Linked DNA regions of Tamandua tetradactyla. The protein of the gene in region 3 purifies or fractionates together with the protein of the main gene of each other region. This does not show direct contact. Links are inferred from orthologs where the notes say so. Each region holds a gene or a part of one and is shown on either strand. Other genes may lie near its edges. The genes, in order: EDC3, RBBP8 and USP4.

Region 1 (10,556 bases), on a different chromosome or scaffold from region 3:
AAAAGATCAAACTCTGATTAAAGATGTGATGAAACTGATCTGGTTAAAACTAAGGTAAATCAATATACAAGGTAAACACACACACACACACACACACACATATATATATACAAAACATATATACATATACATATAAAATATATATATATATAGTCTATGTTTTAAAGCTTAAAGTTTTGTGTAAGACCAAAGGAAAAATGTTTATTTTATCCAAAATTTAAACTTTCTGTAGCACACTAATTTAATATGTCTAATCAGTTCATTTAAACAACCTAATACAGCTTTATTTGACCCTGGAATAAAGAATAAAATCTTAATATTCTATACAAATTAATGTTATACCATACTGCATTTCAGAGTATTTGGGGCTGAAAATGGAGGAGTGTTTGCAAAGTCCCTTGAGGGGCTGGGAAAAATAGAACTATTGAACTTCCTCACCTGGGGAATTCCTCACATTTTCTTAAGAGGGCCTTGCAATTGAGTAGGCCAAGGCCTCAATCTTTTTTTTTTTTTTTTACATTCAATGAATATATTCTTTTTAAAAAATATTTTTATTGTAAACAACAAACAAACATGCAAACATTCTTAACATACAAACATTTCTTGACATGGTTATAATCAATGGCTCACAATATCATCATATAGTTGTGTATTCATCACAAGGGCTCAGTCTTGAGGCTTGCCCTTATGAAATTACTTCTGTAATAGCAAACTGAACCTACTTAGGATTAGTGCCTAAGAGTCATCTCCAGAAAATTTGAGCTGTTGCTCAAATGTAGTCTCTAAGTCAAACTCTGACCTTTCCTCCTACGTGGGACATAACTTCTAGGGGTATAAGCTAGGCCCTGGCATCGTGGGACATAACTGGCCCTGGCATTATGGGACATAAGTTCCAAAGATGAGCCTGGCCTTGAATTGTGAATTAGTTGACTAAAAGGGGAAAAATAATGGCTAAGAGATTTCAAATGGAGTTGACAGGTCATTCTAGAGGTTACTGCTATGCAAGTTTCAGCCAGATATTACAAACTGCCACAGTATGGCAAACCCCAAAGATATCCTTGGTTCTATAAAATTTTACTTATTAAATTTGTTTTTTAGAGACTTAAAACCTCCACATTGTTTCAATGCCAGAGAAGTTCTGAAACCCCAAAATACTGGACCCTCCAAGAGTAACAACCGGCTTCATTGTTTCATTCTTCTGCCGCTTAATGACAATGCTCCTTTTCAGCTTTGAAGCAGTTACAGAGTCATCCCTCAGATATCCCTCAAGATTGAGAGATAATTATCAAATGAAAGGGAGAAATTGTAACTGAAAAATTAGGATTTAAGAGATGATGATTTTGATTACTAAATCATATTCCTTTTTTGCTTTCTGGAATATTGGAATAGACAGGGGAATATCTGAAATCCCTAAACTATAATTCAGCTCCCCTGATATCTGAAATGATTGTAAAAGCCCTTATCTTGTGTGTTTGTGACTGTAAGAGCTGTTACTCCTTTTATCCGGTCATTTTCTTGTAGGGGAGAGGCTCTAACGCTAATGAAGAATTTGAAGTCAGCCATTTAACTAGCTTCAGGCCTTGACATTTGTAAATTGCATCACCTAGGCCCTACTATTGAAAGATAACTTGTCTCCCTTCCTTTTGGCTCATATTTTTACTATTAAAGTGATAGCCCTGTTTCCCCTCCTTTCAACTTATGTTCTCCTATTGAATGATAATAGCACTATCTCCTTTTCTGCTTTAACTTGCTATACAAAATGACCTCATCTCCCCTTGCTAAAATCCTTAAAACCCTTGAGTCTCCTAAACTCGAGGAGACAGATTTGGACCGCTAGGCCATCTGCTTACCTACGACATGCCTAGTAATAAACACTTTCTCTCTTTGAAACCTTGGGGTGTCTCAGGAATTTGTTATTGAGCACATTGGGCAAAAGAATCCATGGCCTCTATCCAGGAATACCAGGAGATGCCAGGAGCTAAGAGTGCCAACAGAAGTTAGATAGGAACCAGAGCCAGCAGATGTCACCATACGCCTTTCCAAGACAGTCTAAGATAAGAGATGAAACCCGAGTTTTGCCCCAGAGCAGCTAAGTCAGGACCCACAAATGCTTAGAGAGGAAGTCACTGGAATCACTAGCACAAAGCAACCAACTGGGAGCAAGGACCTCAGATGCCAGCCATGTGTCTTCTCAGCCAACAGAGGCATTCTGGATGCCATTGGCCTTTCTTGAGTCAAGGTATCTTTCTTCTGATGCTTTATCTTGGACATTTTTATGGCCTTAGAACTGTAAACTTGTAATTTAATAAATTCACTTTATAAAAGCCAACCCATTTCTGGCATATTGCATTCTGGCAGCATTAGCAAACTAAAACATCACCCATTATTAGCACTTTAATAACTGCTTAGTTACTGATGACTTCTAAATCTCATACCTCTCTCCTGAACTTCAGATCCACATATCCTATTTACCACCAGATGCCCCACAGTAGGCCCACCTCTAACATGTGCATGGCCTGGACAAGAATATAAAGGGAGATCCCTGACTTATTACCCTTTTTCTTTCTACCCATGTTCTACTGCCTCTACCCTCCACCCCACTGTAAAGAACCTGTCAGGTGCACATTTGTGAACACCTCAACCTGAATTTCCAAGCTTTATCCATATTCCTCCTAAATTTCCAAGCTCTATTCATAGTCCTCCTAAATGACCATCTTTTTGGCCACTCTTTAGATTTAGTAGTGTGCACATTGGTGGTGTGGTCCACCCTTAGGAGGAATGACCTGGAAAAGTGCTTATCTATTGAAGGATGTGAGCTTAGCACCATTTGGGAGAGAATTTAGGGACCTAGGAACCCAAAGTGCAATAGGATCTGAAGAAGGGTGTGAGCACTGGATAGTCATATCCTCTTGGTGCCACAGGGAAAGGCTTGGCTTAAGGGTAACCATCTAAAATATGGGGTCTAGAATAGGGACCCAGTTGCCACCAAAAGATAAATATTGTATTATTTCACTGATAAGAATTAATTAGAATAAGCAAATTCATAGACAGAATTCAGGTTTCTAGAGGCCAGTGTGGGGGTAGGGAATGGAGAGTTAATGCTTAACAGAATTTCTGTTTGAGGCGATAGAAGAGTTTTGATAATGGATTCTGAATCATATATCTGAATGTGGTAATAAGGGAGACTTTTAGGATGTATATATGTTACTAGATTAAAAAAAGAAAAAAGTACAATATAGCTGAAGCAGAGTGAACCCTTGGGTAACCTATGCACTAGTTAATAGGATAATTATGTTTCATCAGCTTAAACAAAGGTACCACACTAATACATTATCAATAATAGGGAGAACTGTGTTTGGGGTGGTGTTATGTGGCCACTCTTGTATTTTCTGCATTATTTTTCTGAAAACCTGTGAGTTGACTAACAAAAAAATTTTTTTACAAACAGAACTGCAAAAAAGAAAGAACACCTACTTGTCTTTCACAGCTTCTTTGCTTTCTCGTAATACAAGAAGTTCCAGTATATGGTGTATACTCCTTGCTCCCACTAATGTTTACTTTTTTTTTTTGAATGGTTAGGCACCGGGAATCGAACCCGGGTCTCCAGCAGGCAGGCGAGAACTCTGCCTGCTAAGCCACTGTGACCCACCCTCCAAACTAATGTTTATTTTTAACACAGTATAGAGTCAACTTCTATATCTAATAGTTGCAGCAAGGACAAGGTGTTTGGAAGAGTGTTACTGCACAATCGCCTTCCCCAATTCTGCTTTAATTTGAATTCTACATTCTGCTGAGAAAACACACCTACTGTGTAGAACTAGATATGTATTAGTGTGGAGATGATCAGAGCCCAGAGAAAATGGCAGTGAAAGAAACAACTAGATGAGGCATTGGAGGAGTGAACCCCTCAATTTCCGTGTTTTGGGCACTGAGGGGTGAGGGAGGCTTGGAGAGGCACAACAGAATTAGCTAGTCTTTTAGGAATATCAACCATGTGCAGGTGCACATTTTGCGATTTAAAGTTCACAACCACTTTAGCTATCATCTCCAGTTTGCCTTCAGAATTGTACACCTCTGGTTTGTAGAAAAACATGTTTTTAAATGGTAGAGCAGGTAATACTTTCGCATTTTCTAAAACAAATTGTTCATATAATTTAGAATTTATAGCCAAGGAGCCTCAAAGCTTAGTTTCACCATAGGATGGTGCTGGTTAATTCTGAGAGAAATCGTTCTGTAACAAGGTAGGAATGTCCATCTCTGTTTTTTTGGTATTAGGGATAGGTGGTATAAAACTTATTAAAACAATCTGACCAACATCAAAGGAGAGAAATGTTGATTATATAGCATAGGATATCATAACTTGAATGTTCTCAGGGAGGCAGCATGTCAAAAGGTCTTGGTTCCAGTCCTGGCTTCATCATTTACCAACTGTGTGACTTTATTTAATCTCTGATACTTGTTCTCCTCTCCTAATAGGAAAATAACACCTACTCGGCCTAACTTACAAGGATGTGTGGTATATGTGAAAGTACTTTCAAACTTGTAACATGTTATACAACTATAAGGACTCATTATTATATTTGTTCCAAAATTATGAACACAAATCTGAACATAAAAAAAAAACGTGGAGCCAGGATTCAATCCTGAATCGGAAACACCAATGGCTCTCAAATCCGTGTGCGCAGCAACTTACTGGAAAAAAAACTTTAAGAAACAGATGCCAAGGCCCCTCCACACCTAATAATACTGTATATTCTTGGTGATGGAGGGTGAGGTGGGGAGAGAGAGGGCGGGGCGCAGAACAGGACGCTATCCTTGGGGAATGTAAAGTCTATAAAATTCCTCAACTGGTTTTGTAGAACCAAGTTTTAAAACCACTACTTTTTATGGTTTACTTTATGTTACCTGATAAGAAGTGGTTCCCCAAACAGGAGTCAGACTTCAAATATTCCTGTAAACTTTAAGTTAGAAAATTCCTCATTACACTCAGTATTGGTCGTAAGCATGGTTTTTCGAAATTGAGACTATCAAGAGTATAAACTGCTAAAAGCAAGGAGAGTGGTTGTGGGCTGGTTCAGCCAACCAGACAGGCTGACTCTAATCCCCCAAAAGGGGTAAAGCTGTTAAACTTGAGGATTAATCACAAAAGGAATTGTTGTTTCCTTTAAGTCGTCGCGGGGTTGGCCTACTTCTTGCGACTCACAGCAACGACTGAGCAAGGATCGGGTCTCAGGTTCCCAGGAGCGTCGGTAAGTCCTCCGCTCTTGCTCGATTAGAGGGGTTGGGGAGAATTGGAAGCTTTCCCTCAAGCCTGCAAAGGAGTGTGGAGTCGCTCAGATGACTGGGCTTGGGAAAGAGGGCAGGATCTCGACTCTAGCCAGGATTCAGCCCGAAGTAAGTAGGCGATGCGCAAAATGGCCGCCCAAGAGCTGCTACGGAAGTCCCCAAAGTCGGTCTTCGCGGCGTTCTTTTTTAAGTTCTCAAATTTCCCGACGCTCCGCCCCTTAACGGTTTTCCGGTTTGCAAGGCGTCGCGCCGGAAGTGATGTTACGGTGGCGCCGACACGCCGAGGTGCTTCCTGCGGGGGAGTTTGTGGGGGTCTGTGTGGAGAAGCTCTTCAATCCCTGTTTCCTACACAGGTTACGCGGTCGTCTGGGTGTCGAGTGCTGCCGGGGCGCGGGTCGGACGCGCGGAGGTGGGAACCAGGGGAGTTGGCTTATTTGTCTGTGCCTGTGGGAGGGGGCTTCCGGGGCTGCCAGTCGGTTCTGTCTTTAGGCTCCGGGTTCCGGCCTTGTAGACTTTTACAGAGCCATACACGAACTGGAGGCCCCATCGGTAGGGCGGGGTGGGGGGGCAGTTATTAGGGGATGTCCTAGGAGTTGAGGTGGGAGTCCGAGGACAGCGCGGTTTTAAATATCCTGGGAGTAGCTTGAGTTGTGAGGCATTAGCAGCCTGGGCTCTTAGTCCCGCCTTGTTGGTGGCTGTTGCAGTTCACATGTTTGCTTATATACTTTGCTCCATACTTCACTTTCCATTTGCACCATGAGGGAGGTTGGTAGGGAAGCGCGTGAGTGACTCACCCATGACATAGATTCAGAACAGAGATGAGTAGATTCAGGACAGAGATGAGTCCGGGTCTAGAAGGAGACACCTGCCAGGGCGCAGGTTCTACTAAATCCCGGGAACTTACCCTTGATTCTTTCCTGCCTGTGGTGTAAATCTGCCGTTCTTATTATTAGTACCCTGAATTGATATTGACTTATCAATTGGCCGGTTGCTCCTCAATAAATCTCCAAATTCTAGAGCTAAAAAGAGTATTAACAATTCTCTTTCCTGGTTACAGGATGAGGCACTCCAGACCTGGATTTTTTCCCCTCTCCTTCCTCACAACAGACTAAATTAATTTTAGTTTGTCGTCTTTCAAATATAGGTCTTATTTTCACACACAAAAAAAGTGACTTTCTTTGAGCAGCTCAAAATTTCAATTGGAAAACTCAGATGGATTTTAATTTGAATGGCAGGTTTAGGTATATTGAATACAAAACTCCTAATTGTTGATTTCTCTGTATGAAGTGAAATGGTTGCAAAAAACATGACTTTTTGATAAAAGTTTTTTTTTAACAGAAAAATCATGCAGAAAATACAGAGTTCCCATATATTCCCCCACTTAAGAATTTTTTGGGTGGAGCCACTTTTTGGGGTAGGGCTATGGTACCAGAAAAGTGCCTCTGAAACTTTTTTGATCTCTGACCCACAGTTAGATACATTTTCGTGATGACTTTGAGTGCCTCCTACATGCATGAGCCTGCGCACACACACAATGAAACAAAATTTACTTATTCTTTCTACAGATGATACCTTCTGACATTTGTTTCATTAAGAGAAAAAAAAGGTTGGTTGCAACCTAAGAAATTGATTGTGATCACCGATGGGTCATGACCTGAGGTTTGAATAATATTGGGTTAGAATATGTGTTAAGAGTCTTGTCATTACTGAGATTCTGCCATTAGTACAAAATGGAAGATGTTTCATTTTTCTGTTCTTATCAGGCAGAAGAGCAAGGTTATTTGAGTTCTGAATTTTTCCAGGACAATAGCAGAGGATACATAAATTTGCATTTCAATGGTGTATTGTCTCCATGGTGTCATAATTTTAGCAAGGCTTGTTAAGTCTTTTTTTGGTCGCCTGGTAGGTGAGAGCGAATTTGCCAGGAGGTGGTAGAATTAGGTGACATCATGACTTCCAGCATCTGTGTCTAGAGGGGTTTGATTTATTGATGTATCACAACTTAGCGCTGGGATGCTGATGATTATAGCTGAGACTCTCTATACACAGTATGAATTTGAAACCTTATCTGGAAGGTGTACGTATCAGATTTGCTGCCTTATGAAGAGAAAGTGTCGTCTGGTTGATGACTTGCCAAAGTCATCATAAAAAATCTCAAATTTAAGATGGAAGAACTGGATAAATGTGAGGTATTCCACTTGGGTCTAAAATTATGTTACTTAGCAGGGTAGCAGGGAGGGCTTCATGTAATAAAAAGATGTGGGACCTCAAACACTACTGACAAACACCGTCTGAATCAGTGGTATAGTTAGGCTGTGAAAGAAATTGATGTGATCTTCATTAGTCTGAATCAGTGGTATAGTTAGGCTGTGAAAGAAATTGATGTGATCTTCATTAGTAGATCATATTAGGACAATGTAATCACTTATGCAAGCCAGGTAGGATATTAGGTTTAAATGGAATATTAGATTTAAATCTGGTTACACAGAGTAAATTTATGGGTAGGAGTTAAAAAGAAGTCAGAATTTGTTACATTTTAAAAATTTTTTGTTGGCTGACAAGATGTAATAGCATTGTTTTGGCATGAGTGATTTTTTTTCCCTTGTCATTTTAGGCTTTCAGGTATAGGCTGGCTAGTGGTCTTAAAACATTTTTGCTTGAGAGTCCCCAAAAGATTGGAAGTTCAGTGTATCTCCTTCACACTTTGAAGTTGGATCTGAAATTTTTTGTCATAAATTTAAATAGCTTGGAATGTAATTTCTGACATGCAAATATATTAACATTTTTAGTTAAATACAAAATTATTTAAATACAGTAGCAATTTTGTTTTAAAAATATGCAAATAAGCTTTTAAAAATTATGTAATATAGTCTATTCCTTGATTTTCAGATGATAAACTTTGCATTCCTGGATTGAACCCCTTCTATTCATGGTATATAATACTTTTTATATGTTGCCGAATTGAGTTTGCTGTGTTGTTTTTTTTTTTTTTTGACATGGGCAGGCACCGGGAATCAAACCCAGGTCTCCAGGAGAGAACTCTGCTTTGCTGAGCCACTGTGACCTACCCGAGTTTGCTAATATTTTATTAAGAGTTTTTTACAAGGAATATTGGTCTGAAGTTTTCTTTTCATATGATGTCTTTGTCTGACCTTAACCTTTTGTTCCATGTTGCATTTTTTTAAACTTTTTGTTTTTATTTTTATTTTTTATCTATTTCTTATAAATATAACAACATACAGGCGCAAACATTCTTAACATATGAGCATTCCATTCTTGGTATATAATCAGTGATTCATAGTATCATCACATAGTTTTATGTTCATCACCAAGATCATTTCTTAGAACATTTGCGTCACTCCAAAAAAAGGAATAAAAAGAAAAAAACTCATGCATACCATACTCCTTACTCTTCCTTCTCATTGACCGCTAATATTTCCATCTACCCAATATATTTTAGTCTTTGTTTCCCCTATTTTTTTTCTATACCCCTTACCACTCCCTTTCATTGATCACTAGTATTTCAATCTACTAAATTTATTTTATCATTTGTTCCCCCTATTATTTATTTGTTTTTAATCCATATGTTTTACTCATCTGTCCATACTGCAGATAAAAGGAGCATCAGACGCAAGTGTACCATGTTGCATTTTGTGGAAGGTCTGAGCTTTGTGCTAGGATGGTACTAGATGTTTTCTATTAAGGTCTTTGCCATTCCCAAGATTTTGATTCTACAAAAACCTTTCCTGATACATGGAAACTATCTAGCTTTTCAGAAGTCCCTAACTAACCAAGTACCCATCTATCTATAGCTGTTGATTATGGTTGTCTTAGGCCAAGAGGTTGCTCCTTGAATCTGAATACTGAGTTATACTTGATGAGGCAAGTGAGATAGAAGTAGCTAGGTCTATGGTTGACAAATGATTTTTTTGTGCTTTATGGATCATTTTGTCAATTGCTTCAGTTGCATATTAGGTGGAAGTCCATTTAGGGCTACCTGACTGTGTCATCTAAAGGCCTCTTACCAGAGAAATAATATTTTTGTAGTCGGAAAATCCTGACGGTTTAGCATTAGACCAAAATTGTCCCATTAAAAAAAAATAATCTAGAAAGTCCTGATGATCTGATATCTGTGTCTCCCTTCCTGGCTACACAAATAATTTGCTCGGATAAATTTTCTTTGCAGAGTGGTAGAATAAGTGTTGACTGGTGAATGCACCAACATTGCGTTTTTGTGAAACTTGTTAACATTGTTGAGTACCACACAAAAGAATTAGTTCTTTTTTAGGTGGTGGTATTTGATTCATTATCATGGATAAAATTTTTAGGAAAATTATATGTGCTTTTATGGTACATTAAATCCTATCACCAAACTTTATACAAGAGGTAGTAGAGGAATGGAATGTCTTAGTAGTATCTGAGCAAAGTAGTAAATGAATTAAAGGGTCCTTTCTGGAGATACTTAAGAAATGGATGCAGAATCAAATGAACTTTGGTACAAGATACTGATTGAGTAATAGTTTGCTAAGTTTCTGAGTTCAACATCATTTCAGTACCTTAGAAATGATGGAAAATAATTGGGGAACAAACAGTATCAGTGAAATAAGAGTACATAAGGAATTTGTTTAGGAAGATATCAAAACTATTGCCTTCTCAACTAAATGAATAAAATTAGAGTGTTGATACCAAGTGTTGGTGAGGACATGGAACACAGGAACTTGCATACATTGTAGGTGGGAGTATAAAATACCATCTTTGAAAACTGTTTGGCAGTTTCTTTCCCTCCCCCCCTCCCCAAAGCACATTGTAACAATTACTTGCAGAACAGATTTCAGAGTTTGTAATGGGTTACAATTTCACAATTTTAAGTTTTTACTTCTAGCTGCTCTAAGATACTGAAGACTAAAGAAATATCAATATAACAATTCAGCGATCATACTCATTTGTTAAACCCTACCTTCTCTGTATAACTCCACCATCACCTTTGATCTTTCTCCCACTCTAGGGATATTTGGGCTATGCCCATTCTAACATTTTCATGTTGGAAGGGGCTGTTGATAATGTGGGATAGGGGGATGGAACTAGTTGATGTTCTTGGAGAGGCCTGGCCCCTCTGCATTTCAGGACTTACCTGGTCCAGGGACCCATCTGGAGGTTGTAGGTTTCTGGGAAATTACCCTAGTGCATGGAACCTTTGTAGAATCTTATATAATGCCCTAGGTATTCTTTAGGATTGGCAGGAATGGTTTTGGTTGGGGTTTGGCATATTA
Region 2 (11,122 bases), on a different chromosome or scaffold from region 3:
GCCCAATCAACGGAAGAAGGTACTCCAGATGAAAGTTCAGACTTAATTCTAAAAACAAGACATGAAAACAAATACCATAGCATAGCACATGCAGTTTTATATAATTTGGATTTATTTTCCTTTCTGGTTTCATCTCCTATCCACATCCCCAATAAGCTTCCATATTTCACTCAATCACTTTGTTAGGGCATATAGTTCCCTATAGTTCCTTGAATAAAACTAAGCTGTTATTGCTATGCTTTCTATATACTAATCTCAGCTCTCAGAACAATCCTTTCCCCCTCCTGCCTTTTTGCCTGGTTGAGTAGACTTAATCAACTGTAAAATCTGAGAGTAAACCATTTCCCCTTCCCCCAGAATACCCGAGTCTTCCCTTAATGTTGCCAGACAAGATGGTACACTGCACTAAAATCATATGGATCGTCTAGACTAAAAAATCCTTTCAAAACTAGGACTATTCTGATTCATCCTTCACAAGGTCTGATATATATAGTTAAGTGCCTGAAAAGCATTTCTTGCACAATTGTCTCCAAGTACACTGGGGCTTGTAAGAAAACTACTTTGGGAGTTCATGTTTTAGAAACCATTGATTAATGATGAGGCTATTATAATGAGGCGCTGCCAGAAATTAAATTTATCACATGGGAAGACTCTAATATTAAGTAAAGAATAACTCCTATATAAATATATATTTTTTAGGTGCATGGTCTGGGAATCAAATCCGGGTCTCCCACATAGGAGGTGAGCATCGACTCACACATTTTACTTTACAATCAGGTAAATCATGTTTTAATAACACTCAGCATGATGTTAAAACTATAAACTATAAACCACTGTAGTATTAAACTGATGGTTACAATAGGTAATAAAAAACAAAAAACAAATGCAATATCAATTTCTCATACAAGCAGTGTATTATATTAAATTCACAGTATTTTATATATTAAACAATATCGAATCTTGAGCTTAGCTTAATAGAATTCCTTCATAAGGTGTACATTCTAAAATGCCACAAATAATATTTATTTACCCCAAGAACAATTGCTTAATCCTCTGTATTTTGTAGCACGTATTACCTTTTCAGCTCTTATTTAATTTGTACTATAATCATACATTTACATGACTATTACAATTAAACTGTAAGCTCTTTGAAGGTAAACTGCCATTTGCCTTTGTATCTCAGTGCTTAAGAGCAAACAGATTTCAAAAGGTTTTTTGAATGAGTTAAGCAGTATCTTCGTATCTATAAATACTCCTTTGAATAAATATTGCAAACCCATTTAACAGAAGAAAATTAAATTCAGAGGTTACGTGATGTGATCACACAGAAAGTAGGTGAATGAAGAGAATTAAAATCCAGGTCTGCAGACACCAATTTCTATACCCATTCCACCACACTATACATATTACCAAAATTAACTACAAGTTGTATAAGAACTGTGTCCCATAGTAGTAGTCTATAGTTAAAAAAAAAAAAAGCAACAACCATAAAAATGACAATGGTAAAGTTCACTTAAAGTTCAGATCTTTCTTCCTTCTAGAAATACACAAAAATTACTCAAAAAGTTAGTTATTACTAGAACAGTTTTCCAAAATACCATCAGTATTTGAGAAAAGATTTTACCTTGTACTTCTTTATCATGATACTCCTTCAGTTTTGTCCAAAGTTCCTTGAAGTCATTAGATATATCTGCAGAACTAGGACTTCCAGAACTGCTTCCAGATATGTTCATCTTGCTTAATATACTCCACACTTTTATTTGCCTAATATTTTCTGACCCTTTCTTTTACATTATATAGATATGAAGTTGCCTGTGGAGACCATTGATATATCTGAAACAAAAGATTACAACACAAATGAATTTTGCATGATTACTCAAGGACAAAACACAAGCCCAGCTGTCCTCATGTTTTCTTTATTTACCTACAATTCATCACTTTAAAAGGAGGGAGGGAAAAATGAGGGAAGATTAAAGTGAGAAGAAGCCCTGATTTCAGTAATTCGTTTTTTAGTTAAGCTAAATTTTACCTAAATTACGCTAAATTGAAAGGATCCTGATATTGAGAGGTTCTTTTTAGCATAGGCAGGCTCCCAGAAACGAACCGAGCATGGCAGGCAAGAACTCTGCCACTGAGCCACTGCTGCACTGCCCTATTGAGAGGTTCTTGATTAACCATGGTCAGTACTGATTTAACATTAAAAGACTATATTGCTTTTTAATTTTTGGATTGATGTAAGGTGCAGCAATATGTCGAATCCCAAACTGGAAAACATTCTGAAATATTCTTGTATTAACAAGTACCAACATGTATATACATATCTATATACATATAGACATATATGTGTTATAAGAGAGCAAGACTAATGACTGATGTATTAATACAAATGGGCTCTGGATAGCTTTCTCATAAGTCAGTGAGCAAAATACATATACAACAAAGTTGTATAAGTATAGAAGGGAAAGGCAATTAAGGTAAAGCTCTTTCGTGCCTCTGTCAAAGTAATGGTGAATGATTAATTTTTATTTCTTGTGTAACCAATAAAGAAAGTGACAGGGTATTAAGAAGTTCAAGAGGATTAATAAATTATTTTAGGATGTGTTCTTTAAACTGAAGCCACTAAGAAGCTACTACTAAAAAAGGAAAATGAGTAACATAGTAAATAAGCTATGGTCTTCTAACCCAAGAAGGGTTTTGTGTGAAGCCACTTAAATTATAAAGCACCGCAGAAATAAAAGTTAACTTTTATTAAGCATTTAAAAAACTGGGATTAGATTTTTTTAAGACAATGAGTGAAAATAATGTGTACTTGATTTCAGATATTTGGAATTTATTGCTCATTTCTTGTGTATGATAGAATTTTTTTTAAATGTCCTAATCTGTTAAGGAGTATATACTGAGGTACTTACAGGTAAATGACATATTGTTTGGGATTTGTTTTAAAATACTCCAGCTAAAACAAAAAAATGATTTTGGATGGGGAGATGAAAGAAGGGCTGAGCACTGGCAATTATTAAAGCTGGGTGATGATGAATGGATATATGAGAGGGTCCATAATTCTAGTGTTTCTTTCTTGGGTATGTTTATATTTTCCATTACAATTTTTTAAAATGAGATTAAATGCACTGCATTAACACAGCTTTGTTTCCAAAGAGGCTTGTATTCTACTATTTTTAACACTAAAAAAATAATCAGCCTGTATTACCGTCAATAAAAGTTACCATTTATTATTTACTATATGCCACGGACTGTACCATTTTACATTCACCGTTTTACTTAATCCTCCGAACAATTTTATAAAAGTTATTATTATTAATTTCATTTTAGAGAGAATACAGACATTTGCGACCTCCTCATGGTCACAGCTAGGATTACATGGCTATGTCCGGGTTGAAACAAGTGATACCAATAACTGCAAAATAATTCCTCTTTGTGGCAAAAAAGGTGTATGTGTGTGTGAAAATTTTTTCATTAACTAGTTAAAAGAACAGCATAGTATTAGTTTAAAACCGAGTATAAAATACTTCTCCTTTAAGAAACCCCTCTCTATTTAGACAGTAAAAAAAGGGCTATGTGGCTTTTTTTTTTAACCATTAAAACACTTAATACTAAACTTACAAATTCCGGTTCACGAAAACCTCCCCAATCTATGATGCAACGTCCAGTATTGACTGGCATCACTCCTAGTGCCCTGAACCGTTACTCATAGGACGATGCTCCTTAACTTCTCAGAAATGTCCACCTTACCTCCCAAGTGGCAATCCGGGTTCGTACGTCTGTATAATTTGGTAAAATTTAATACACCGCCCCGGGCAGTGTAAGCCACCAAGCTGAAGGTTCTTAGTAAAATATCTGTTTCCTGTCACACCACACGTATTCTCACACAGGTGGGGCAAAGGACGCGCCTCGAATCACACAGGAGACCTAGACAGACTGAGCAGGAGATCTGAGGGGTCATCTGAGCAAAGCAGAGGTCCGGGTTCCTATGCCAGGCCCCTTAGCTATCCGCCTGTCCTCAGGTGCCGCGCGAGTTATGCGGACGGGTCCCCCCAAAACACCCGGCGGGCTTTTGCCAAGTGCGACTGGCGCGGGTAGCGCGCGCGGAGGCGCAGGACGTAGTCAGCGCAGGCGCGGGGCGGGCTCGGCGCTGGGAGGCGTTTCCTCAGCCCGCGCGGGAGACCAAGGGAGCTGGAGAGGAAGGGCCCGTCCTCCCGCTGGCGCCCGTGGGCCGACTTCACCTTGGCCCCAGCCTACCTCCTCGGGCACAGTCGGAGAACCGCAACACGCTCCCGCACCCCGGGAGTAAACCCCGGCGCTTAGCGCGCGCTCCACCCTCGACCGGAAGTAGCAGCTACGACCGGGGAAAGGGGGAGGAAGCGTCCCCTTACCCACGGCTCCCAGTGCTGCCTCGAAATTTTCGAAAGACCAGTAGGGAGGCGGGCGCCTTCGGGGACTGTGAAGAGACGGCCGCTTGCTTTTTCCTCTTTTTGCACCAGACAGGCACTCCCAGCCCGCGGTTTGTTGAGGAGAAAGTCGACGATCGCGGGCTGAGCTCACCGGTGGCCGAACCCGTCCCGCCCGGGGCCGCGCGACGTCGCGCGGGAGTTCTCGCAGCGCCACGCCCCTTCCTCCGGCGGTGGAGTCTGGCTGCGCCCCCAGACCCACGGGACGAGGCAGAGCGTGTGCGGGTGAAGGTGGACTAGGACTGGCTTTCGGGAGCGGCTCAAAGGGCGGGCCACGCCAAAGCGTCTTTGAGATTCCCTGGAGACGACTCAGGCCGTTCTGTCAGGAGAGCCTTAAGTCCCGGGTGTTAGGTGCAAGGTACCTTATGGTGTATCTGACTTAAATTTCGAGGAAAGCCTGTGAGTGACCTGTACCAAACGGAAAGTTAGAATGAACTGATGGGGAACGGACACGGATCAATCCGTAGTTTCTGCGTTGTAGCTTTGCCTATCGTTTGGAAACTGAATGTTATAACCTGACAAAACTCCATATATTAAAACGAGACTTATTTTGCTGAGATTAAGTTGAAAGTTTCTGGCGAACCTGAAAAGAGAAGGAATCAGAAGTGACCAGCATTATTTGTTGGGACAACTTGCTGTTAGGTAATGTTTAAAATAAGGTCAGTTTTTCCTATGGATGCTTCTTTATGATATTCAAGCTGATGGTATGTTTTACTCTTTATCATGCTTTCTAACAGAAGCGGTTTTGGACCATTAGGAATTTTACAAATGAAACTGAAGAAAACAGACGGTGAACTAGAATCACAACATTTTAAAAACTACTCCAGTACTTTTCTGTAATACTTCTAAGCATGGGAAATGGTCAGAGTAGTATTGTAAACTTGTTTTCTAAGTAATGTTTAGAAAATAATAAATAGAAAGTGTAAAATTAATTTTTCTGCTCATCCTAGCTCTTAAGAGATGAGTAACAACTTTCTCCTTGAAATTGGACATTGTAATGGGACATGACGCACCATTCTGGCACTGCCATACTTGGTATTTTTAAAATGTGTTGGTGAACCTTCATTACCTTGTTATGGGAACCATCATTTATTCACTTCTAAATTTTATGACTTAATTCATAACACTTTTAATGAATGAAAAAATTCCCTATGCTATTTTTCAAGGCCACATAGGAGGAATAATGGGCAGTGAAGCTTGTATAAATGTTTATGGTGGAATTGGGGCGTTTTTGTAATAAATGGAAAAAGTCTATAACCAGTTTGTCAGATAACAGCATATGGACAGAAGGCTGTATTTGTGGTCCAAAGGAAAACCATCATAGGGGAATGACCTAACCTGTTCCTCTGTCCTCTGCCAATGGCTCCACTGTCCAGCCCATTTATGAAAGTCAGAATCCAAAGACTCAGCCTTGACACCTTTTACTGCCTTAACCTCCTTATTCTGCCCAGTCCATCACCAAGTCCTGCTAATTGTACTTACCAAATATCTCCCAAATCCATGCACTTCTCTCCATCACCACGATAATTCAAGATACCATGATCTCTTACCTAGTCTTTTGCTGTTCTACCCAACTAACTACCCTACCTAAACTTTTCTTTTCAGTGATGTTCAGAAAAATTTGTCAGCATCTATTCCCAATTCATATATGTATATATAATTTAAAATTGCACAAATGGTGCGGGCCATGGTGGCCCAGAAGGCAGAATTCTCGCCTGCCATGCCAGAGACATGGGTTTGGTTCCCGGTGCCTGCCCATGCAGGGAAAAAAAAAATTTCACGCATGCATTGCTGAAAGATGGTATATAGTCTGAGTCACAGTCTCTGCCAGTCAGAGCTCTTGGATTTGAATCCTGGCTCCAGTACTTCCGGAGTGGCCCTGGGCTAGTTACCTCATTCCTCTGTGTCTCATTTTTCCTACTTATTAGAAGAGGATAATAATAGTACCAACCTCACAAGATTATGAAGATTTACTGAGTTGATGTATGTAAAACCGCTTAGTAGTGCCCATAAACATAGTATAAGCTCAATAAATGGTAGCCATTATTAGTACTTGTGAGCTAATAGACTGAATATTATAACATATTTTTAGAGGATAAGAAAAATAGAATAGAAATTTAATATTAACTCCTTCTCTCACCTAAGATTGTGTCCACTTTGAGATCATTACATCTACTGTGATCTTGGAAAGTAAATCTGATGTCATTATTGCTGCTTAAAACCCTTCAGTGGCTTCCTGTTACTTTGTGAAGAAAGTCACTTTGAACTGCCTCTACTGCATCTCCAGCTTCATTTCCAAATATACTCTGCCTTCAGCCTCATTGGCCTTTTAGAGTCTTGAGAGCTAGTCTTCTACGCAAAAGGCCCTTTGCGTGCTGTTCCCTATACCTGGAATTCTTGACCAAGCCCGTCCTCTTGCCTAGCTAATTACTGTTCATCCTTTTATCTTGTTTCAGTGGTCTCTCCTATTAGGTGCTCTTACAGGTAGGACTTAGCACAGGATTCCCCATTTTTCATTTATCACAGGTTTATTTAAATGGTCATTTATTTAAATTTATTTCTCTTCACTATACTGTTTCTTGAGGTCAAAACCGTGTCTTGTTCATCATTTTATCTCCAGAAACCAACCCAGTGCCTGCCTAAAATCAGTACTTTGTGGATAAATGAATGAATGAGAAATCTCTGGATGGATTTCTGTTTTTTATATATGTGGAAACCTTTGGGTGTTTTCAAAATTCCTAGATTATCTTTTTAAAGTTTTATAATGGTCACTTTAACAGTAGAAATATCCATAGATATTTACTCCTCCCAAATAGCTTTAAGACCCGTATGGTGGAATAAATTATGAAGTACCCAAAGATTTGCTTAGAAAACGTCCTTAAACTGAGGAGTAATTATTTTGAACTCTTTGTAATATTGGTTTTCCTATAGTTTATGACTTTAAACAATGATCCCAATTTTTTCAATCATGGCATACTTAGAAAATGAATATTTGTATTACATATTTTGATAAAAGGTCAGAGGTCTTCCCCAGGCCCAGCACTTCCACCCTTAGGGCTAGGGAGTTTAACGGTCTCAGCACACCTATAACCCATTTGAGGCCCCTGGTTAGGATGCTTGATTTAAAAATTGTTAGAACTGTAGAATTTTGGAACTCATGTAGATTTTAAAGTCATCTAACTTAGGCTGTTAAAAATGAAATTCTTTGTTGATTCTATAACCTGTACTTAACTCCTACAACTGGGTAGCTTAGCATGAAGGGAAAATCACATAAGTTAGACTGGTAACGCTTTTATTACTGGTTTCAAACCTCATGTAGATATCAGTTGATCTTTAAAATAGCATTTGTTCAGATTCTTCTCCTATTTCCTTTGGTGTTTTCCAAACCTTCACTATTTTCTTCAAGCTCCTGAACAGTGTTCTTTTAGCAGACAATCCAACCTTCTGGTTAAACAAGACAACAGGTAGGGCTCAACAGATGTGATCTTCCTAAACTTCCCTTTTCCTTTCTCAACCCTGTGAATTAGGCAATACTATTTTGCAGATAATACAGCCTGAATCCACTTGTTTCTTATCACCATCTTTGCCTCTGGTCCAAGCCACAGTCATCTCAAACCTCTTTAACAGCAGCAACCTCGTATTTTTTCGGTCAACTCTCTGCTTCCACTGTTTTCCCCAAATAGTGTACTCTCTGGCAGCGTTGAAAGTGATCCCTTAAACTTTAGAACATGACGTTCCCCTGCTCAGAACATTCCAAGTTCTTCTTGTCATCTTAGACTAAAATCCAAATTTATTTCTATGGAGTCAGGACAAGTTAATCACTGTATTCTACTGACGTTATCTCCTAAATATAATTTTGAATTGATACTTTCCTTATTCATATTGCCCTAGTTGAGGCCCCAGTGTTTCTTACCTATACTGTAGCATCCCTGCCTCCAATCTTGTTCACTTTAATCCAGTCTCTCTACAGAGCCACTAGAGATTGAAACCAATATTTCTGATCTTGGCACTCCCCTGCTTAAAACGCTTCAGTGATTCTCTGTTGCCTAAAGGTTAAATGCCTAATCCCTGTAAAATGTTGCAGAAACCTTTTTTAGCCTTGTGTACTCTACCTCACACTTCATTCTTTCCCTCTATCAACAGAAAACTACTTTTGTTCCTGTCTCTTCCCCTCTTCTATTTCTTTGTCTTGGCTCATACGGTCCTTTTCTCTTGGAATTACTTCCACCTCCATCCTTTACATTTCACCTTTCTACTTATCCTTTAAGACTAAGCTTATGTAGTATTGCTTCTAGAAGACTGACAACTCTTTTACCCCTCTTCCTAGACTCTTCTACTCCCACATATGGCCCTCCTCCTTCTTCCATACCACTACACATACCTTTATTATTGCATTTAATGCCCTAATATTTTAGTTATTCTTGTATGTTTTTATCTTCCTCAACTGCCTGTGGGCTCCTTGATGTCAGAAGCTGTGCTTTCTTTATTCTTTTCAATATTTCTAGTTCTTACCAGAGAGTCTAAGCATAGAGCTATCCAATAGAGCAAAATTTATATAATTTAAAAGTTTCTAGTAGCTACATTTTAAAAATAAAAAGAAGCAGATGAAATTAACTTAATATGTTCTTTTTAACCCAATTTATCCAAGATATTATCATTTCAACATGTAACAATTAAAAATTTATTAATAAGACTTCCTTTTTTTTCTTCATACTAAGTTTCCAAAATCCAGCATGTATTTTACCTTTATAGTACATGTCGATTTGGACTAGCCACATTGTAAATACTAAAAGCCACTTATGGCTAGTGGCTACTGTATTGGATAGCACAAGTCTAGCAATATAATAAACATTTGAATGTTGAATGAACAAATGAGGTTAAATGATTTACCTAGAGAAACATGATAGATTTGGGACAAGGATACAGATTCTAGTCTAGTTAATTTTCACTGTTTGTGCTGGGCATTTCCTATCTCTCCCGCTCCCCACCTCAACCCAACCCCATCAGTGATTATCTAGGCCAAAAAAGAAAAATTAAATGATTAAACCCATTATAATTATTCACATAATACTTTCTAGGACCTCTAACATGAACACGTAATTTACGTAATACTGGTAAACTGGGGTGAGCTATATACCTGCAGTCAGAACTATATTAAGAATAAGGCAAAAGGCTGTTTGAATGATAAGAAGGAGGAGGAGCTTTAAGACAAAAGAAAATTATGTTAACTGTTAACATTTGTGTTAACTTAAATGTGTGGAATTTAATTTTTAAAAAATTATTTGCAGTAATTACTAAATATTTGTGGGTGAGAATATATATTAGTGATCTTGCCCCAAATACCAAAATATCTTCTTTATGATTTGAGTTCAGGGTGCCAAGATTCCAATTAGATTTAGCCATTTTATAATTTTTTAAGATATAGTTAATATTCATGGAGAGTCTCCAGAACAGTTTTATTGTGACAGTCATTAAAGTGCTTTTAATGGACATTAAAGAGAGAATACCTTGCTGTGGTAGTTAGATTCAGTTGTCAACTTGGCCAGGTGAAGGCACCTAGTTTTGTTGCTGCAGACATGAGCCAATGGCATGTGAACTTCATCAGTTGCTAATTACATCTGCAGCCAGCTAGGAGGCGTGCTTGCTGCAATGAATGACGTTTGACTTAATTGGCTGGTGCTTAAATGAGAGAGCTCAATGTAGCACAGCCCAAGCAGCTCGGCATTCCTCCTTTTAGCACTCGCAGCTCTGCCCAGGCCTTTGGAGGTGCAGAAAGGAATCACCCTTTCCAGGAAAGTTGTTGGAACCCAGAGGCCTGGAGAGAAGGCCAGCAGAGATTACCCTGAGCCTTCCCACGTAAGAAAGAACCTCAGATGAAAGTTAGCTGCCTTTCCTCTGAAGAACTAACAGAATAAATCCCCTTTTGTTGAAAGCCAGTCTGTCTCTGGTGTGTTGCATTCCGGCAGCTAGCAAACTAGAACACTTGCTTTCAATGAAAAAAATTAGCCTTATGTATTCTGGCCCTCTTCCAAGCTTTATTTATTTGATATTCACTGTAGTTACATTGGACTAATACCTTTGTCTTTCCACTTTATAAACTGTTAAAATAGATTTTGTTTATTTTTAAACATCTTTCACATGGTACTTCATTTCATGTCAGTAATGGGCAGTTTTTAATATATAATTTGCCCGATGTATAACTATCCCTTTATTCTTTTTTTTTTTTTATTCCTTTATTCTTGATAGAAGGTTGTACATAGTTTATTGATAGCAGCCTGGGTTTAAATAATCGCAGGCTGATCAAACTGTAAGAATAAGTCATTGACATTTGGTGCCTAATAATTAGCATTCCTCCACAGGTTCACAAGAGCAAGCATGCTAATATTCATTGCTTTGTCGTCTTCAAATAAATAATGATTCATGTCTTAAATGGTAATGTTTCTATCTGTGATGAATTTATTCACAGCTGGAAAATAGCTATGATCTTTAATGTATATATGTGTATCTACAAATACATCTTCAAACACACTGGCTAACTTTGTTAAATTTTACCCTATTCTAACCATGCTTGAAAAAAAAAAAGACCATGTTTTAAATGCTGGCTTTTTGCTTTTCCTAATCCATATATTAGTCTGGGTTAAAGACACTTTGTTAGTTAC
Region 3 (11,079 bases):
TTAGCTTCTGGTTCATGCAGAAGTAGCTGAAGGATATTACTTGCTCTGGGAGCAGCCAGCAACATTTAGACCACAGACCTGAGAAGGGAAGGGCCCTGCTATCACTCAACTGGGTTCAGAAGCTTCCATTTTAGCAGTTCTTCCGGAAATACCCTTCTTTTAATATATTAAATCTGATAAAGTTAGGTCAGGCACTTCTTGCAAATTAGCCCTTGATCAGATGACTTTCTTATTCTTACTGTCTCAATGCATTTTTTCTGAAAGCTTATTTTTAGAGAAGCATTCCAGCATGATCCAACTTAATAAATTTCTTAAGTTTTAACTTCTGGGTTATACTTGGTAAAAAAATACCAGCTAAAATTTCCACAATATAATTTGCAAAAACCCCAAGTGCGATTTCAGGATTAGAGAAGATAGTGGTCACAGCAATTCAAGTGGTCAGGGACAAAACTGGGCCTGTCTGAGATATTTGCATCCATTTATGCCAGTGCTTGCCCAGTAGTCAGTGCATCAGGGATTTCATTGAGAAGCTCTATGTGCAACAAATATTGTATGATGAAATTTATATGAAATGTCTAGAATTCGAAAATTCAGGGAATCAGAGAGTAGAATACAGGCTACCAGGTGTCAGGGGGTGGGGTGAATGGAAAGTTATTGCTTAATGGGTACCTATTCTTTGGGGTGATGGAGGTTTTGGTAATCTGTGGTGATGATGATAGCACAATGTGAATGTAATTAACGTTACTCAACTATATATTTGAAAATAGTTAAAATGGTAAATTTTGTCTTGTATATATGTTCCCACAATAAAAATTTTAAAAACCCCATAGAACCATACAACGCAGAGTGAACACTGATGTAGAATATTGACTTTAGTTACTGAAATAATCCTAATAATATTGATTCATTAATTGTAACATGTGTACCACACTAATGCAAAATGTTAATGATAGGGAAAACTGTGCCTGTGTCTGTGTGGGGATAGTATATGGGAGCCCTGCACTTTCTGTGTAATATTTCTGTAAACCTGTAATTGTTCCTAAAAAAAAAAAAAAAAACTAGTCTATTTTTAAAAAAAGAATACAGCATAGATTTATAAGAAGCAGACGATGATCCCTGTCAGATTTCTCTGAATTTGGTATGTTTTTATTACACTCACCAAAAGAGCATGCTTCGCACACAGAAATGTGACATGCCTGGGCTGGCAGTGGCATTAAAGTAAGAGCTGGCTACACAAATTACTCAACACCTGCCTTATGTCAGGTACTGTTGGATTAGGAGTTGGGGGCACAAACAAGAGAAATCCTTGCCCAAGGAGCCATTACACTGCAATGACATGATTAGTACTGACTCCCAGAGAGGATATGTGCAGGTCAGAACGACTCCTGGACATACATTCCAAAGCTCTTTCTCCTGGCTGGCTAGCAGAATCTGCTTTCCTAACCAGCCTCTCAGTCCCTGCAAATGCAGGGGCAAGTGATCTGATCTTTGACTGCAGGGAGGTATGGGGTCTTCTAAGAGCGCCGTGATCCAAGGGGATGAAAAAAGGAAGGTTCCTTCCTGCTTCTTGCTGGTAGATGTTGTTGAGTGTATCTAGAATGCTCAGGACCACGGCAGCCAGTCAACTTGGGGCTCTGAAGGAAAGGAAAGCCAAGAGGGCTGCACAAAAGCAAACCCTGAGTCCTGACATCCTTCAGCTTTAGGCTCTCCAAGACCTCAACCCTAGGTTTGTCACATGTGCAAACAAAAACAAAACACCAAAGCCACCAACAAAAGCCACTTCCTTCTGGGTACTCAGTTATTTACATTCAGAAGTACCAATGAGACTGACATGATATGACAGTGATGTGCTGGACAGGGGCCTGGCAGACTTTACATCCTGCAGGCAAAGACCAGTTATAGTTGTGCCCTGAAAGGCCAGGGTAGGAGGAGAGCACAAAGCAGGTCCATTTGACCCAGACATCTAGAGACCTGAGCAGTGTCCAAGGAGAAGTACAGCCTGCCCTGGGAGGTATCTTACAGTCCGGCAGCCCATATGACCACGAGGAGGCAGGTGAAGAGGTTCTGAATCTTCTTGAAGAGTGTGTTGCAGAGGAAGCACCTGTTATCCCACTTTCTTCTGTCTCTAGCATTTGGTGAGTGCACGTGTATGTGTGTGTGTGAATTTAAAGCATCCCTTTAAAGCAGACTTCATCATCCATCCTTAAAGGCCAAAGGGAATGTTTTAAACTTGCTTTTGCTCCCTATACCAGTCACTTAAACTTCTTTACCAGTAAACAGTCTACAGCAGGAACCTCCATGTTCCTTTTATCACACAACATACAACACTGTAATTAAAGGTGTAGCCGTCTTCTCCAACCACATTGGTTGTGATCCCCTAGAGGGTAGAGACTGTGTGCATATAACAGATATTCAAGTACTATTAGTCAAATGAAAGAATGACTAATATGTGGATAACTTTTTAATTCATTAATCCAAGAAATGTCTACTAAGAATATACTCTATGCAAAGGGAAAACAACAAATACAAATCAACATCTAAATATCTGTTCATGGTTATGACATTAATGGTAATGGAATTAGAGGAAGAAGAGAAGACACTGGCCACAAATGTGTCCAGGGTACCACACCCTCCCTGCCCAACAGTGGCAGAACCGAACTGAATCTGTCCAACAGCATGAGTTCCCAATGCAGGAAAATGTATCTGCCTGCACCTTTGTAGAATTATCTTGATCCCACTTGATCTCTGTGAGACTCGTTCAGTTTTTTACCTCTGACACCTTCCCGGTAACCTAATCCTTATATAATAGAGGTTAGAAAATACTAATGAGACATTTAGTTCTTCTAAAGCCTATTTCTAGAGCCTTTTACTTTTTCATAGTCCCCTTCTAAAGTCTATTTCTAGAGCCTTTTACCTTTTCACAGTCCCCTGGGTAGGTTGAGGATGCATAGGCAAGAAGGGGAACCAAAAATAAATCTTACCCATTGTCAACTCTGATTAAAAGGTGCCCACTATTTTTTGAATTCTGAAAGAATGAGTCTGCCATGTATGCTTTGTAATCACTGGCCAAGTTTGAACCTAGGGTGACTTAGGAGGGCCAACTCCAGTCTGGCATAGACAAGCAGTAGTCCTAGCCAAAAAAGAACTTTATGATTTGGAACCAAATAAAGATTAAATGTTGCACACTCAGACCTGACAAATACTTGATTAGACCATCTGTGTTAGTTAGATTCAGTTGTCAACTTGGCCAGGTGAGCATACCTAGTCTTGTTGCTGCGGACATGAACCAACAGTATGTGAAACTCATCTGTTGCCAATTACATCTGCAGTCAGCTAGGAGGCGTGTCTGCTGCAATGAGTGACGTTTGACTTAATTGGCTGGTGCTTAAATGAGAGAACACAATGTTGCACAGCCTAAGCAGCGCAGCATTCCTGATCACAGCACTGGCAGCTCAGCCCAGGCCTTTGGAGATGCAGAAGGAAGTCACCCCGGGGAAAGTTGTTGGAACCCAGGGGCCTGGAGAGAAGACCAGCAGAGACCATCCTGTGCCTTCCACATAAGAAAGAACCTCACTGGAAAGTTAGCTGCCTTTCCTCTGAAGAACCAACAAAATAAATCCCCTTTTATTAAAAGCCAATCCGTCTCTGGTGTGTTGCATTCTGGCAGCTAGCAAACTAGAACACCATCACAGTCCAAAGTCCAGCAGCAGTGTCCAATCAAGCCTGTTTCCCTCTAGCTCTCTTCCTGCTTTCTCTCTCTGACCCAAGCTCCCTTGCAACAGGTGGGTTGTACACCCCTGGAGTTTGACCTGGGCACCTTACTAGATTTATACTTCTTCCTTGGGTGAAATGGCTCAGCAGACAGCACAGTCCTGGGGCCAGGGTACCTCCTGGGCTGAGTCACTCATTCTTGCTGTTTCCTACTTAGTTCATAGGTCACTCTCACAATAGCAAGAAACACAGGCTTTGCTCATTGTTTCTAGTTCTCAAATTTTTAAAAAATGTATTTTAATCAAACTCACTAACAAAGTTTAAAATCTTTGGAAACGATGATCTTTTGATGTGAAGATTCACTTTATTTCTCACACTGTTAACCACCGGTTCTTTGCAATCTTCATTTTTAAGGAATTACCCATAATTAGTGTACTACTTTATAGCCATTTAAGAACATTAAACAGTTCCTGGTTTAAAAAGATTTTCTGAAATTTTCCTTTTTTAAAGTAGGTTTTGTCCTCATTTCTAGGGACAGGACTGGTGCCAAAGACTTGTCCTACTTCCCTCAGTCTCTGACCCATGCCATAATGGTATAAGGAGAAACTGCTAAAAAAAAAAAAAAAAAGATGGAAAAAGTAACCCTTCAATGTAGGTTCTTAAGTAATGTCCATGACCCAAAAGTTTTCACCATAAATAACAGGAATAAAGGTAGTGTTTCTGTTTGATAACATATTTACAGTTTCAAAGAACTTTCACAGGAGGGGACTATGGGTTGTCAGGGTTGATTCCCCAGTGGTAGAATCATCATACGATGCAGGGGATTAAGTGCTATGCAGTTACTCAAGGCAATTTTAATTACAAATTTATTTTCCCGTTACCTAACCAGCTGCCAAGAGGCTTCTGTTGCCAGATGGTGCCTGATGGATGTCCCAGGGAGTGGTAACTAATTTTAGTTAGCCAAAATTCAATGTAAAATTAGCAAATTTGATACTGTGAACTAGTGATTGTATACTTCGGATGGTTAGTATGGTGTGTGAATATATCTCACTAAAACTGCATTTTAAAAAGTAGCAAATTTGTTCAAATGAACTACCACACCTTCTCACTGCCAGCCCTTCTTCCACCCCAACACAGTGCCTCATCTATTTCTCCTCTCCTCCCTTAGTTATCTCCTCAGTGAGAATTTCCTAATGAGTCTCCTGGCTGTACCACTGTGGGTGTGAAGCACACTTATCCATTTTATCTCTGCTCCAAAACCTTCTACAATGTGTGCTTGCCATTTTAAGACAAGACATACGGTTCCTTCAGCCTCCTTTCCAGCTTTAGATCCTCTTAGGCACTTTCAGTAGTTTGTGCCCAGCTTAACTGGCCTCATCCCCACCCTGTGATCCTGCCTTGCCTGTTCCAGAAATTCTCTTTTGATCCTTCTAGTCTCCCCTTCTGTAATATGTGCCCCTAGCTCTTCAAGATCACACTTAAATGCTACTCATGTCAAAGATTCCACTTCACAGCTGGGAGTCGCACCTGGCACTCCTACAGCGTTTTGTTCATTTTTCTATTGAACTGACAACACAATGGTTGACATTTGGTCATTTGTCGATACTTCTCTATTAGATTACATGTTCTTTAAGGGCACGAACTGAATCTTATTTTTCTCTGAGGACAAATAAATGGGGACTCACGTATGCCAGCTGCCCCACCTTCACCTTGCTCTGGGCTTACTTCCCCCGCCAGGAGGAGAAGCGTGTGGAATACATACCGTATTCAGTACATTATGTCTCGAACAAATAAAGAAGATGCCTGGGCACCTAAAGGTGAAGAACATACTCGAACCTCCCCTTTTCTTCTTCCCTGTTGCTATTATCCCTCTGTAGCTGCTTGTTTCCCTGAAAAAGCTCAGTGTGGGAACGCATTGGTTTTGCGAAATTTTGCCGTGGACTAGTTGATTCTGGTGACAGACTGCTTCAGACTATTAATAAGACCACAAGGTCAAGTCCTGGTCCCAAGACCTTGGCGGCAACGGGCACTTCCTGGAATCCCTGCAGGGCTCGTGGGACAGGTCCCCCGGTCGCCTGTTTGGGAAATTCACGACTTGCTTAAGGTCTCATGCTGAACAAGAGGAAATGGCAGGAGTAAAAACGAGAAAAGCTAGTCACCGGGCTTAGGACTAGGGTAACCTCACAGCCCGGGAAGAGGAACACGAGGGGTCATAGGACTCGCAGGCTATCTCCTGGAGATTACCAGGCTGGACAGAGCTTCGGAGTCTGCACTAGGTACCAACCTAAGCGAAGGAAGGAGATCTGGCCGGCCACACAGCTAGCCAGCCAGGAGTTAGGCCGGAGGGCAGGAGGAATTGGCGACTCGTTTCCAGCTATTCCCATCCGCCTCCTGTTTCAGACCCCTCCTTGCTCCACTGTGTACGGGTGGGAGAGCAGCAATGCACAATGTGCGGTGAGGGGAGATCGGGCGAAAAACAAGAGACCCGCAGACCAGCAAAGCAGCACGAAGTGGCCTCGGGTGCGCGCACGTTCGTGCGTGCGTGCGTAGGCGCGGCCTGCAGCGCACCGTGCGCGAGGCGGATGTCCGGGCCGGCTGGGCCAGGACCGCGGAGGAGATGGCGGAAAGTGGTGGCTGTCGTGAGCTGCCGGATACGGAGACCCAGAAGTCCGAGCTCGGGGCTTTGATGAGGACAACGCTCCAACGGGGGGCGCAGTGGTGAGCGCCGTACCCACCTTTCCGCCGCGCAGGGCCGGGGCCGGGACTCCGACTCTCAGGCCAGGGTCCTCTTTCACGGCTTGGCAGGGGCTGGTCGGGGCGGTATCTGATGACCCTGAGAGGTTGGCTTTGACCCCGCCTCTCGTGAAAGGAACCCCGAGATTAGTTCTGGGAAAGCGTGGGCGGGGTTGGGGATCGTCGAGTCCCATTCGGAGCCTCAGGGGGCGGGCCCGGCTTGGGCAAGCGCCGCAGAGCGGTAAGGAAATGGAAACGAATGTTCCCGGGGACTGTGAGGGTGGGGACAGTCCGTACTATCGAGGACTCGCCTTGTGACCTTGCGCGAAGGTATTCACCCCTCACAGGCCCTGTTTGCTTACTAATAAAAGTAGGGTAGCGGTACTTGGCCCATCCTCCTCGCTAAAGGGCGAGGATCAGAAGTAGATACATTGTAAGCTACAAACTGCGTAACAGATATCAAGGTCAGAAGCTGAACCAATGTCTGTGAGCCCCAGGGTATTCTGGTAGCAAATGTCAAAAATAATGGTGGCAGCAGCATTTTGGGATGGGAGAGGTGGGTAGCCGAGAGCTTGGAGCTAGAGATAGGGAGATTAAAAGTGCAGAATTTAGAGGAGTAAGGTTGAAATATGAGGTTTCTTAATAGATTTAACCCTGGATCCCCGGGTTAAATAGAATATCGTGTGGCAGTAGAAATTGAAAATGATTACATCTCCCTCTTTAAGAACATGGTGATGATGATAATGCCATTTCTAGTGACAGAGGAATTGAACATGGAAGAGAAACAAGGGTGTTAGGAGGAGTTCAGATACAGCTTTACCATGTTCATCTTAAGCTAGCCAAGCTGTGAAAGGCAGGGCAAAGCAGAGGTACTTTTGAAAGTTCTCCTGTATAGAGGTGATATATAAAAAAGAATACTAGGCAGAAGCAGAGAAAATTTAGATAGACTAAAACCACTAAAAATATAGGGAGAGCATCGCTTAATGGGTTTGGAGGGAAAAGAGTGTTTCAGAAGTTTGTGTATATTTATGGATCCTTGTGGCCTCAAGAGTTAACTGACCATCTCTGAGGTTTGTTGGTTATAAAATTTGAAGGTCTTAGTATAACTGTTGTGTTTTGTTGTCCCACACAGTTTCACCCCTACTGTCTTTATTGTCAAACAGCATAGTAATACTTTCAGGTTTGTGTTTCTTTCTTAAGTATAAAAAGCAAAAGATTGAACCCAGAACTCACCTAATGCTTATTTGACTAGTTGAACAAACATAAACACTAATTTGATATATATGTGTACATACATATATATATTCCATTTTAATGAGTGTAAGGGGAATTCACAATTATTACAGTCTTCTAGTCTTACTTCACTACGTAAGAAAAGAAAGTGAGCATTAGATACTTTCACACGTTTTTGGATATCTCATTTGGTCCTCAAAGGAAAAATGAAGTCAGTGGTACTATAATCCCATTTCTAGAAATAAAAAAAAGATTAGTACTCTTCACATTAAGCAAAACAATGTAACGGTAGACTGTCTACCTGGACAAGATCATTATGAAGTTACTTAATTGTTAGGCAAACAGGATTTTAGCCATAGAAGGACTTTAAATAAACTTTTGAAGCCAGTCATTTCCTTCCTTTCATTCTTTGAACAGTCATTTCACTTATTGTACTCCTGCCCCAGGCCCTCTGTGCCATGTGGGGCCTGGCCCTGTTCTTGCTCTTGAGAGTGTGTTTTTTTTTAATGGGGCCTCTTATGTGTTAGCCAAGATAAAAGAGCATAAAAAAGATTAAGGGAGCAGACTCGGAAACTTGTAACCTCAGCTTTTCTGCCACATTACATTTTTTCTGTCTCTAGGTATCTTATTGACAGTCGGTGGTTCAAGCAGTGGAAGAAGTATGTGGGCTTCGACAGCTGGGATATGTACAATGTGGGTGAACACGACCTGTTTCCTGGTCCAATAGATAACTCTGGACTCTTTTCGGGTACAGTATCTTGCTTTTCTTTTCAACTGAAATGCATATGAAATGTTTACATGGCCTGAGGTCATGTTTTTCTGTAACAGGAACATTGTGAACCTGACTTCCCCAGATGAGGATGGTATAAGGAAGTTTCCTTGGTTTGGGTCTATAGCAGAAGTCTTTGTAGACCTTCAGAAGTTAAGCTACTTATTACCTAAATAAACTGCTTCTAACAAGAGCATGCTTCTACTATTTAAAAGAATTTCTTTTCTCTCCCCCCCCCCGCCCCCAAGTTAGTCCTACTACAGAGTTTAGATTTTAGATTAGTATCCTGAATGGAATCCCTTTTCTTTGGGAATGAGAGGGTCATATCAGACTGGAAATAGGTTATCATTTTGAAGTTGCGTCTGGAATATGAAATTTGGGAACCAGGTTTTTTTGCATTGCCTTTGCAGTGAAACGAATTTGTAGACTCATTGACGTTCATCAGACATTCCCGTGATGGCAATGTTTGTCACAGCAGTAATTTGAAGAGAGGTGGAAGGCAAGTACTGTTAAGACCGTAGTCAGCTTCCACAGGGAACTGTGGGAAAAGTAATTCATGACCCACCTGAGCTGGTTGCACATGTAAATGTACAGAGATGTCAGAATCAACCTTTCCCTCATTGTGCTCTGTTTAACTGTACACTCACTCACAGGTAGGACAGAAGTGATCTGTCACATGTAGCCAGAATCAGGGCTAGTAGAAGGCAATGAATGAAGCTTGATCCAAGTCCCTAGATAATTATAAAGACAAGAAATATTTCAGCTTAAACCTTGTTTTAAGGGAAGTCTAAACGACATGATGAACAATGTCATTTGCTTTATTTTCTGGTATAGGTTGTTAGGTAGCTCTGTATTATGAAGTTGCCCTGAGTGGTTAGGAAGCATTGTATTTTGTTTGCACTTTGCGCTTTCCCTTCTTATTTTGACAAGGAGAATTTTTAAGGTTTTTAATTTTAATAATAAGACTCAGAGCTGGAGATGGCTGTCTAAGGTCATTTGCATGACCTTTAGCTAAAGGTAGGATTTCCTTCTGCAGTCCCTCAATTCGATGTCACCTGACTTTGGCTTGAAATGTCTGCTGTGTGTTTACAGGTGAGAAGCATGTTCCATTCAGATTCTGGAACACTGACCTGACAATGCAGGACAATTCAGGAATGACCTGACAAATGACGTTCACCCCCTCAGTACCTTGGCTTTCAGTCACCTGCTAATCCCAGCCTGGTTGTCTTGTGCCCAGACTAATGGAAAGAATTCTTAGTAGTGTGTGAAGGAGGAGAAAGAACATATCCTTACTGATGTAGTCAGCAGAGCACTCCTGTCATTTTTACCTGTGTCCTTACTGTGAATCATGTGAGATCCCTGTGCTAAGACTGAAGCTTTGCTCTCATTTTTCTCCTTTATTCCCCTCTCTGTTGAAGAAAATCAGTTCTGTATGATTTTTAGCATGAGTCCCTGGGACTGATCCAGTTTTGAGTAAAAATGATGAACTGCATTGAAAGTTCCAGTTAATTTTCCTGCACTTGTACAATTAATGTAATCAGAATGACGTATTTGGGAAAATTGTCACAGAGGGGAAAGAGTCTGTAGAACTGATACATTTGGGGTGTATGAGACTGAAAGCTGCTGGTTCTTTTCCCTCAATTAAAGGTTTCTTACTAATATTTGACACGGTATGGCCAGATCTGTGTGGTGCTTAGTATTAGAAGTGATTAGGGTATATTCCTCTAAGCAAGGCAAGAATAAGTGAATGATGTTCATGAGTGTTGATTTGTAAGCCAGAGAAAATTTTTTAGTTTAGTTTTCAGGGTTTTTTTGACAAGCTCTTGTCTCAGCAAGCTGAGAAGTACTACCCCTGGATTGTTCTTCTGTCCTGATCAGAAAGGGCCTGGTCTGTCAATATTAATAATCATGCCAGAGCTGCTGCTGTTAAAAATGGTTGGCTGCTCATTAATGGGGAGGATTCCTCTTGGTATTCTTCTTCCCCAAGGCTGTTGACTTCCTTTCCTTTTTCCTTGGGAATGAGAAATGTAGAAGTGGGTCATGTCAGAAACCTGCCTGTAATTCAGGGTCACATCCTTGGTGGGAAGGATGGTGGGAAGCCCTAGTCACCCTGTGAATTCTCTTATATAGTTTTTAGTTCCACATGAGTTGTACTGCTATACTTTCTTTTTTTTTTAACTTTCAATTTTGAAATACTTCCAAACATACAAGATAGTTAAAAAATAATACAGAGCGGGCCACGCTGGCTCAGCAGGCAGAGTTCTTGCCTGCCATGCTGGAGACCCAGGTTCGATTCCTGGTACCTGCCTATGCAAAAAAAAAAAAAAAGGTGGGGGGGAAATAAATAAATAAAACCCCATACAGAGAACTCCAGCATACTCCTATTCCCCCCAGTTACCCAGACCCACCAATTTTAACATTTTGCCACATTTGCTACATCATTCTGTCTGTCTTTTTTTCAATCCATTAGCACTTGAATGTGGGTTCATACATCATGTTTCTTGAACACTTAATACTGCCATGAACATTTTCTAAGAATAAAGATATTCACTTATATAAGCACATTAAGTGCAGGTATCAAGTTTAAGAAATTTAACCTGTTATAAAGCTTGCAGTCTATATTCCAGTTTTTT

The links.
Region 1: the proteins of USP4 (region 3) and EDC3 purify together in Homo sapiens (co-immunoprecipitation; 3 studies listed by BioGRID and IntAct, with this or other methods). This does not show direct contact. The link is inferred for Tamandua tetradactyla from reciprocal best matches to the Homo sapiens genes USP4 and EDC3.
Region 2: the proteins of USP4 (region 3) and RBBP8 purify together in Homo sapiens (affinity purification with western blotting; 3 studies listed by BioGRID, with this or other methods). This does not show direct contact. The link is inferred for Tamandua tetradactyla from reciprocal best matches to the Homo sapiens genes USP4 and RBBP8.

Annotation. Positions count from the first base shown.
Region 1 is NC_135338.1:67,334,645-67,345,200, forward strand, and holds the start of EDC3 (enhancer of mRNA-decapping protein 3), read left to right. Parts: upstream 1-5,217; 5' UTR 5,218-5,394; exon of another isoform or gene 5,395-5,512; intron 5,513-5,543; exon of another isoform or gene 5,544-5,695; intron 5,696-10,556. UniProt on the Homo sapiens protein: Binds single-stranded RNA. Involved in the process of mRNA degradation and in the positive regulation of mRNA decapping. May play a role in spermiogenesis and oogenesis.
Region 2 is NC_135344.1:60,618,179-60,629,300, forward strand, and holds the start of RBBP8 (DNA endonuclease RBBP8), read right to left. Parts: upstream 4,592-11,122; 5' UTR 4,255-4,591; intron 4,101-4,254; exon of another isoform or gene 3,748-4,100; intron 1,834-3,747; 5' UTR 1,734-1,833; coding exon 1,625-1,733; intron 49-1,624; exon of another isoform or gene 1-48. UniProt on the Homo sapiens protein: Endonuclease that cooperates with the MRE11-RAD50-NBN (MRN) complex in DNA-end resection, the first step of double-strand break (DSB) repair through the homologous recombination (HR) pathway.
Region 3 is NC_135341.1:36,907,130-36,918,208, forward strand, and holds the start of USP4 (ubiquitin carboxyl-terminal hydrolase 4), read left to right. Parts: upstream 1-6,268; 5' UTR 6,269-6,328; coding exon 6,329-6,429; intron 6,430-6,648; exon of another isoform or gene 6,649-6,703; coding exon of another isoform or gene 6,704-6,774; intron 6,775-8,297; coding exon 8,298-8,425; intron 8,426-11,079.